Linked DNA regions of Drosophila melanogaster. The protein of the gene in region 1 interacts with the protein of each later gene in a pairwise test. Each region holds a gene or a part of one and is shown on either strand. Other genes may lie near its edges.

Evidence for each region. The genes of interacting proteins can lie anywhere in the genome.
Region 2: the proteins of CG6497 (region 1) and CG13367 interact in a two-hybrid assay, tested with the Drosophila melanogaster proteins (one large-scale study listed by BioGRID).

What each region holds. Positions count from the first base shown.
Region 1 is NT_037436.4:17,251,241-17,255,868, reverse strand, and holds CG6497 (uncharacterized protein), read left to right. Parts: upstream 1-1,931; 5' UTR 1,932-2,045; coding exon 2,046-2,702; 3' UTR 2,703-3,492; downstream 3,493-4,628.
Region 2 is NC_004354.4:642,735-647,289, forward strand, and holds CG13367 (uncharacterized protein), read left to right. Parts: upstream 1-2,026; 5' UTR 2,027-2,161; coding exon 2,162-3,179; intron 3,180-3,255; coding exon 3,256-3,464; 3' UTR 3,465-3,652; downstream 3,653-4,555. Other genes in the region: su(sable) (suppressor of sable), read left to right, coding at 1-607.

The sequences.
Region 1 (4,628 bases):
TACATTTTTCAAGTTGTCTGCGTTTGACGTGCACGGATGGGCGCTCCACTGCGTCGGCGGCGGGCGAAATGGTGGCTGGCAAAGGGGGTGGCAAGGACGGCGGCGGTTGGCGTAGTTACAGTTTTGCCCATCGAATGGTTTTCCCCGCGCTCCTTGGTGCGGTTGTGGTTCGTTGCTTGGTTATCGCCAGTGCCACTACTCACACAGCCGAAGACCACTGCCTGCACCACTACGAGTGCAGCGGCAACTGCAGATGCACTCGGAAAAATCGGATAGAGCTTCCGTTGATTGATGCGTATTGAAGCAAAGTAGAATGTTTTTTTCGGTCTTGAGACCCTAAGTTATGGTCTTGAAAGAGACAATTTCCAATCAGCTTGTATCTACCTAAGGCAACTATGAAGTAAATAAAAATATATTCTAAATATACCTCATTTCTTTTAATAAAAAAAAATTAACATAATTAATTAATTAACAAAAATTAATGAAATATATAATAACACAATTTATAAGGCACACCAAATTTAATGTTTTCTTTTCGTGCCTTTAATTTGAGTTTTACTTATGAAATGTAGTTGAAAGAGTGCATTATGTGCCTATAATTTGTATAAAAGGTGAAAGCTATGAAAATATCTCACTGTCAAATATTAATTGTTTTAATAAGAAAGCACTCGATTTTTGCAAGTGCGAACCTAGCAGAAGCAGCAACAACTACTTGGGTGCTGTCGGTGAGCCTGTTTTTTAGTGCCTTCCGTAACCATTAAATTTTACGTTTTTATTAGCGCGCACACACACACATACACAGACACAGACACACTTACGCGGAGGAAGGAGGAGGAAGAGGCCGAGAGTTGGCAGATAGGCCGTCCCCACCCACTGAACTCTACCGCCCACTACCGCCCACTCCGCCAACCATTTTTGAATATTTCCGTTTTGGCTGGCAGTTTTCGGTTTTCGGCTTGTCTACAAAATGCAGTTTTGCATGCACTTTGGCCTCGGCGCAAAAAGTCAACCGAAAAGAGACAATAATAAGTGCAGAGCACAAAAGGACGAACCCGAAAAAAGGGAAAGAGCAGCATAAAACGTCGAAAAAGTAGAGCCAAGAACATGAAAACGGAAAATTGCATTGCGCTCAGAAGTATGCTATGCTTTTTTCGCTTGCCTTATCAACGTCTCAAATCGGTTAGGGTTGATAGGAAAAGCGGAGGGGCGCAAGCGGGTTACTGGCAAAACTTAGTCCAGATAGCGAAATGTTGTCGCCCAACAGGACCTGGACGTATTTTACGTATTTTAGTTGCCTGCAGCACACGCAAAAAAAAATGAAGAATACAATGCAACCCAAAGACTTTAAGACAGTTCGAGTTGCAGTCGTGGGCGGTTCCATGCGAGTTGTGGCCACTGAAATTGGTTGCATGTTTCAGGGGAACAGACCTTTACCACATGAGTGCTGTTCAAAACTGCTCAAACCTTTACAGACAACACCAATAAAGCTCAATCCCTTCAGGCCAAACAAGTTCGACCCAGCCTCGTCGAGCTCGCAACTTGTTTGGCATCCACAACATTTGGTTGCAGGGTGAACGGGCTAAAAAAAAACTCTTATACTTTTGAGTAAAACTCAATTTCAATCCAATTCAATAGCTCATTCAAATCAGAGCAATTTAAAGACCATAATAATACTGCAGAATTAATAGTTTCATTTTTGAATAGAAATAAAGAGATAATCAGAGAACGAGAGATATAGAGATTATAAATGTTCATATGGCCAATTCAATGCGTGAGTTTGTTTTATATTTATTAAAAAAATTACAAAATATTAAGAACTTAACCTAATCAAGTATAATCACAGACAAATGCCACATAAGAGGCTTGTTAAAATCGTCTTTCATTTTGCATTACTCCGAACTAAGTAGACTAATTGTATGGATCAACCTTTCGGAACATAAGTACCAAAATTAACCGAAACGAAAATTCAAACCCAGTCGGACTCATCCCCTACCAGCCAGGAACCATACACCGAAAAAAGAAGGAACCAAAGGACACAGGACATAATGGAGCTGTGGCAGAAGCTACGAGTGCAGTTTAATGACTTCTTCCACGCGAACTACCCGTACATAGCGCTCTACAGCGGACTGGGCGTGGCAGTAACAGCCTACTTGCACTACCAATGGAGCGTGCACCACTACGACCTCATGTACTGGAAGCGTTTGGCGGAGGTCTTCTCGCAGGACATCGACTGCATCCAGCTGGCTATACTGCTCTTGATCTTCGCGATCAACGCCATTTTCGTATTCATCATCCTGAGCGTCTATCTGCGCCCAGCCCTCGACAATGGCAGTGAGATGTCCTTGCTGGAGATCAAGGATCGCTATGCCCGGTTCATACTGCTCCGCCTGATAGCCCGTCTCGATCGCATACAGTCGAAGATCTCAGCGAAGCGTAAGAGCCTCACCTTCCAGCACTATGTGAGGGCACACACGAACATGGTAAAGGCGGTGGCCGTGTTCCGCAAGGATGCACGCAAGCTAATCCTGCCGAATGAGAGCGAGATCCTGATGCCCATCGAGGACATCTACGGGGTGGCTGATGACGAAGAACGACTGCTTCGGCGATCGGGCTACTACAAGCTGATCATCGACACCACCGACGAGACGGTCAAGTCTCTGTTCAACGCCAAGCTGGAGGAGATCCTGTTCCCAACCAGCTAGACGACTCGGCGGTTCCGATTGAAACTTTGAGTAAACTGCAGTCCAACACTAATTGCCTTTATCTACTCTGCCAGAGCCGCAGCTCCGAGGGCCCCTTCTTAAAGCCGTTTTATTGTTTCAATTGTTTGGCTTGGCAGCTTTTTATGGCCGCATTGTGCGCCGGGCCAACAATAACAGGCCAGTCGGAGACTGTCAGCCGTCCCCAACCCCCAATAACAATAATGGCAAAAGAAACAGCAGCAGAAACAGCAGCAGAAACAGAAGCAGAAGCAGTTGCAGAACCAGACCAGAACTAGAAACAAAACTCCAACGAGGAACAGAGACTAAACTAAAATGCCAGCCCATGTCTGCACAGCTCAAAACAATATCTAATGTTGTCTACGGCAAAATATTTTGCAAAGCGTCTTTTTGTTTTGCCCGATTTCTGTGTCCTTCAGGCCTTTGTGTGTCGACTTTTCTTTAAAATTAGCTAAAAGGTTGTGTAAATTTAACTGAAAGTGGGATAGCAGTGAAAGAAAAGCGTTGCAGGGGATAAAGGATTCTTGGAATGCATCGTGGGTACGAAAAGCAACAAGGGCGACTAGGAAATATAAATAAATTTTCTTATGGGATGATATCTAACTAAATTACATTTTCGGATGGCATGAAGTGGACTAGAGTCCGCAGTCATTAGTGATTTAATCTAGAAAAAGAGGGGAAGAACCTTTTAGGAGGAGCGTCAAATTAGCATCAATAAAATTGGGCAATAATAAATTAAATTCATAAATTCAAACACTCAACAAAATTATATAATTGACTTTTTTGGTTTGTGGTCGTACGTGCGGGCATGACAACAATCTGAAATAAAGATGCATAAATTGTTAATCTGTTTAACAGTATCTTAAGTAGTTGTAGTTCTTGATCTAATAGTACCCGATATCTCGTCGTTCATACGGACAGTCAAACGGACAGTCAAGCGGACATTGTCAGTGATTCTGACTTTATAGTGTTACATACTTTACAACTAATCTACAAGATCTAAATGTTCGAATTTTTATGTCAGTTAAAAAAAGCGTCGAGACCTATTAATTTGTAAACGAAATTGTTAATTATCTTTTTGATTGTAATACGTTATTGTACAGATTGTTGTCGTGCCATTCAAGTCTCGCAGTTAACCATTTAAAATTCACATCCTTTCATTTGCTTCAACTCGATTTCCGCAGCTGCTGCTGTTGCTCACAAAATACAACTCATATCCTTGCCAATGACTTCAAAGCAGCGCATGCTTCGCTGCGCGCCAAAAAGTAGACAACAAAAGCCTTGATAATGAAAAGCGGAAAAAACACGCACTTTTAACTTCACTTTTGGCAGCTAATGCGCGAATGGCCAAAAAGTGACAGCCTAATTTCGGTTAATGTGGCGTGTCCTTTGCTTTTGGCCATAAATCCGCACAGCACGTGTGTGGCAAACTGCATTACTTCATTCGCAGTGCGCACTTCTTTTTCCCCATTTTTCGTTTTTTTTTTTTTTTTGCTCTTCCTTTTTTAATGATGGCCACGGGTGGGCGGCTCACCTCCCGGCGAAAAAGACATTAAGTAGATTATGGTCTGATTGCATATTTGCGGATATGCGCGCCATAAACACGTTCAGACGTGCTGCAACCGCAACAACGGCGAATGGTGGAAAACACGGCAGCGCAACAGCCGAAAGCCAACGCGAAAAAAGTCGCCTGCCTGGCTGTAACAAAACAAAAATCCAAAGAAAAAAAAACAAAAAAAAACAAAAAAAACTCAACAAGAGCATTAAGAGCGGGGTCCAAAGAGAAAAGAATCGCGAAAACGTACGCGCATCTAACCGCAGACTAAATGACGCCTCGCCACGCCGCCCGCCTTGTAAAACAAATACTGCCCTTTCTACTCCGCTACACAGAAAATAAAATTGTGTACC
Region 2 (4,555 bases), on another chromosome or scaffold:
TGCCAAGCTCTTTATCTTTGTAGATGACAATGGCGAGGTGGTGCAGATTCCCGAGGAGCCCAACGGTAATGGTGCTGCTCTTGGTGGCGGCGGAGATTCTGGAGGCGGAGTAGGAGGAGGAGGAGGAGGAGGAGGAGTAGTGCTTCCCAATCTATCGCAACCCCCACCAAATCTGAGCCAAATGTTAAGGCTACCGCCACCGAACATACGAATGCTTCGCATGTCGGGAATGATGATGCAAATGGGCAACGTGGGACCCCCTTTCAATCAGCCACCGCCACGCGGAGGATTGATGGGAATGCCTCCGAATGGCAATGGATTAAACCAGGGCGTTGGCAATCTGGGAGGACTTGGCCAGTTGGGGATAAACCAAGGAGGAGGACCTGTGCCCAATGGCAATCCCTTCAACCCATTTGGTGGGAACAATGGGGGAGGAGCTGGCGTCATGAACAACATGAATTCAATGGGCAACATGGGCATGGGCTTCAATAACTTCAACAATAATGGCGGCAGAGGAGGGCACTTTCCGGGCGGAGGATCAGGCGGAAACGGCAACGGAAACAATCGCAACCAGCGAGGCGGCAACCACCGAAACCGCAACATTTAAAGGCCCATGCGTTGCGAAAACACAAACGCAAAAGGAGCCCTTTTGCCCCAATGATCTTAAAGCGATGCTATGCCACATGACCCTTTCCCCCAACCATACCATACGTCGTGGAAAACTCGTGGTTTTCCGCGCACCTTCCCCGAAAATCCAGGCATGACTCCTTGTAAATGTATTTTATTCCCGAATCCCCATTATTGTCACTATTTTTTTCGCTAGGTGTAAGGATCTTATTAGCTATACGAGTAGTAAAGAGTAAATAACAAAACAATCCGGAGTAAGAACGAAAAGTGAAGCAGAATGGTATGCGCAGCCCTTTTTAACAAACTTTTTTAAATTATATAGGATAATTTGTTCAATAGCGCGAGTACTACATTGATTAACTAGACGTACGAACTCAAAATAAATGACATCTTTTAAGTAATGTGCCATGCTTAGGTTGCTGGGCCGTCCCGGAGGAGCAGAAAGAAATGAATAGCTCTTGAAAGCGTGCGAAACTACACCTAAACTCTTTAGAAAGCTTTTGCGTACTTATCGATGCTAAATTCTGAATTGGCTTCTCGACCATTTTTAATTTAGTTCCTACAAGGTATATGTTTACGTTTACGCTTAAATTATGACATCTTCTGCGAATTCGAACTAAAAATAGCAGTATAGCGCAATTCTACCTTATATACACACTTGCCATCGAATCTAATGTACTAATAATATAAACGGTCGAAGAAATACCGGTGGAGATTCCATATTCAATTTCTCGCCAGTGGCGTTTTGTTAGATTTCCCTATCAATTTCGTTGGTAAAAGAACGTTGACCGTTGAACGTTTTTGAATTCCTAAAAAAACCAGGGCTGCATTAGTCAGAGCACAGTTGGCTACCTGGCAGCCCCCGCCGATCCGGTCTGGCAACACTGGTTTAACAAAAACATACTACACAAATTACGTTGTTTTGCATAGCAGAACAAGCACATTGAAGCATTTATTGTTTTAAAAATCACTACGACCTGAATAAGGGCATGGATTAGCCATGTCAACCGACGCCGACCTAAACAAGTGCGTCAGTCCCATGTACCAGGTGTCAACCGCAGGCGACGGCCTCCAAGCAGAAGCCGCTGGAGATCTGGCGTTGGCCTCCATTGTCGCAGCTCCCTCCTATTCCTGCGAGCCACAGAAGGACTCCACCGACATGGACGTGGACATGGAGATAGACAACGATCTTACCACTAGCGAACGGATGCCAACGGTGGCCGAACGTTCAACGGTCAACGTTCTTTTACCAACGAAATTGATAGGGAAATCTAACAAAACGCCACTGGCGAGAAATTGAATATGGAATCTCCACCGGTATTTCTTCTTTCTATTTTGAATTCCTAAAAAAACCAGGGCTGCATTAGTCAGAGCACAGTTGGCTACCTGGCAGCCCCCGCCGATCCGGTCTGGCAACACTGGTTTAACAAAAACATACTACACAAATTACGTTGTTTTGCATAGCAGAACAAGCACATTGAAGCATTTATTGTTTTAAAAATCACTACGACCTGAATAAGGGCATGGATTAGCCATGTCAACCGACGCCGACCTAAACAAGTGCGTCAGTCCCATGTACCAGGTGTCAACCGCAGGCGACGGCCTCCAAGCAGAAGCCGCTGGAGATCTGGCGTTGGCCTCCATTGTCGCAGCTCCCTCCTATTCCTGCGAGCCACAGAAGGACTCCACCGACATGGACGTGGACATGGAGATAGACAACGATCTTACCACTAGCGAACGGATGCCAACGGTGGCCGAGCTGGAGCAGCCGATGGATTCCAAAACGAAACGGGAGAAAAAAGAGGAGGAGGAGCAGAAGGACGCGCAGGACCAGAAGCCACTGGAGGACGGCTCCGTGCAACCGCCCAGCAATCCGACAGCCATCAAAATCGAGGAGGAGGACAAGCCAGTGAAGCCGCCGCCGCAGCCGCAGGCTCAGGAGGAAGTCGCGCCCAGTTCGCCGGAGACAGCAGCGAATCCCAGCCAGAGAACTGCGGGCAAGATCACCCGTAGCAGTCTAAATGGCACAGCCAACCAGGCGCCCACCCGCTCCCCAACGATAATAAAGCGTCTGCGAAAGAGCACGCGCTTCAAGGCCAAGCAAACGGGCAAGGGCACTCCCGGAAGCGGCAGTAGCCAGTCAAATGGCCACAATAGCGGGGCGAATGGTTCCACCGGCAGCTCCGTGCACCTCGCGGGCGCTGGCGCCCATCCCAGTAATACCAACAAGCATGGGAAGTCCGGTCCAGCGGGCACAGGCGGGGCCACTGGAGCCCGTAATCGCCGCGCTCTCTTCAAGAAACCAGCACAGAAAACTCCCAAGGTGCAGGCGAGCACCAGGTTCGTGAGAAGCCTTTTCCACAAGGGCAGCTATATACAAATCGGGGATATCGTCAGCATTGTGGACAGCGAGCAGAATCTGTACTACGCCCAGATACGCGGTCTGCTTGTGGACGCCTATTGCGAGAAGTCCGCCTTCCTCACCTGGCTGATTCCCACGCAGGACAGTCCGGATCCCCAGGAGGGCTTCGATCCCCCTACCTACCTAATCGGTATGTCAGTCCTGTCCTCCTGCCTGCTACCCAAAGTTTTTTAAATTGTATTTTTGCTTAACTCCCGTGCCTGCAGGACCCGATGAGGAGCTGTCCCGGAAGCTCTGCTACCTAGAGTTCGTGATGCATGCTCCCAGCAACTACTACTTCGACCGGAGCACCCCGTTTCCCCTGCCGGACGTGGATGAGTACACTGCCCAGAGATCGGGCGGCTACATCTGGACGCGGCTGCCGATAGTCAAGCGGGAAAAGGGCAGTGGCCACAAAGCGGGCGGTGCCTCCTAGCAGAAGAGGTGGCTCAAGGGCAGGATGGCCGGAGCCCTGAATTTGAAAAATCTAATTTATTGCAACTTTTACTCTTCGTAAACGGGCTACTTGCCGAACAGAAAATAATTCAAAAAGTACTTGATGTACTGTAGTACCAACTGAACTCAATCAGCAATTAATGAATAAAATACAATTTTGTAATTATGGATAACGAAGCGTTTCCGACCTATAAAGTATACATGTATAAACATATGTTCTTGATCAGGATCAATAGCCGAGTCGAACTGGCCATGTCCGTCTGACCGTATGAACGCCTCAATCTCAGGAACTATAAAACAGACAGTCGCAGCGCAAGTTTGTTGACCCATGTGGCCCAGTTTAGTGTCGTCCAACGCTACGCGCGCACTTTTGAAAAATGTTTTGATATTTTTAAAATTTTGTTATAAGTCCTGTTTGAATTGCAAAAAACTAATTCCCACGCCCACAAACCGCCCAAAACTGCCACGCATATACTTTTGAAAAATGTTTTGATTTTTCTTCGATTTTACTTTTTTGCAATTTGATCGGTATACCATAAACAAAACATTAAAAATTTTGATTAAGATACCAAAAGGTTATCGACACGAATCGGAATCGTTATTGAATTAGACGAGAAAATAGTGGTGGAGAAACATCGATGTTTCCGATTTGGCGAAAAATATCAAAGTCTTAAACATATTCTTTAAACATGTTGTTCTAAACATCGATGTTTTAAATAAAAACAAAAAAATTATCTGTTTAATTTAAATATTATTTTCTTTTTTAATATTGACTAAATAAAAAAGGCAGTATTTTAACTAAACATAAACTTATTGTCGTCTACGTCTTCATCCCTCCTTATTCAGGAGTTAAAAACTTAAATTTCAGATATTTATCCACGTCTTTCAGGACATCAGCCAACACCACCAGCAAGTCACACTAAATTTGCGATATGTTATTAATAATTCTATTAAAAAATATGGAACTTACAATTTATACTTACAATATATACACATATCTTCTCCGATGTGCAGTAAATACCATCGATACCATCGACGCCATCGATGTTGGCATCGATGTTTCGCCACCTT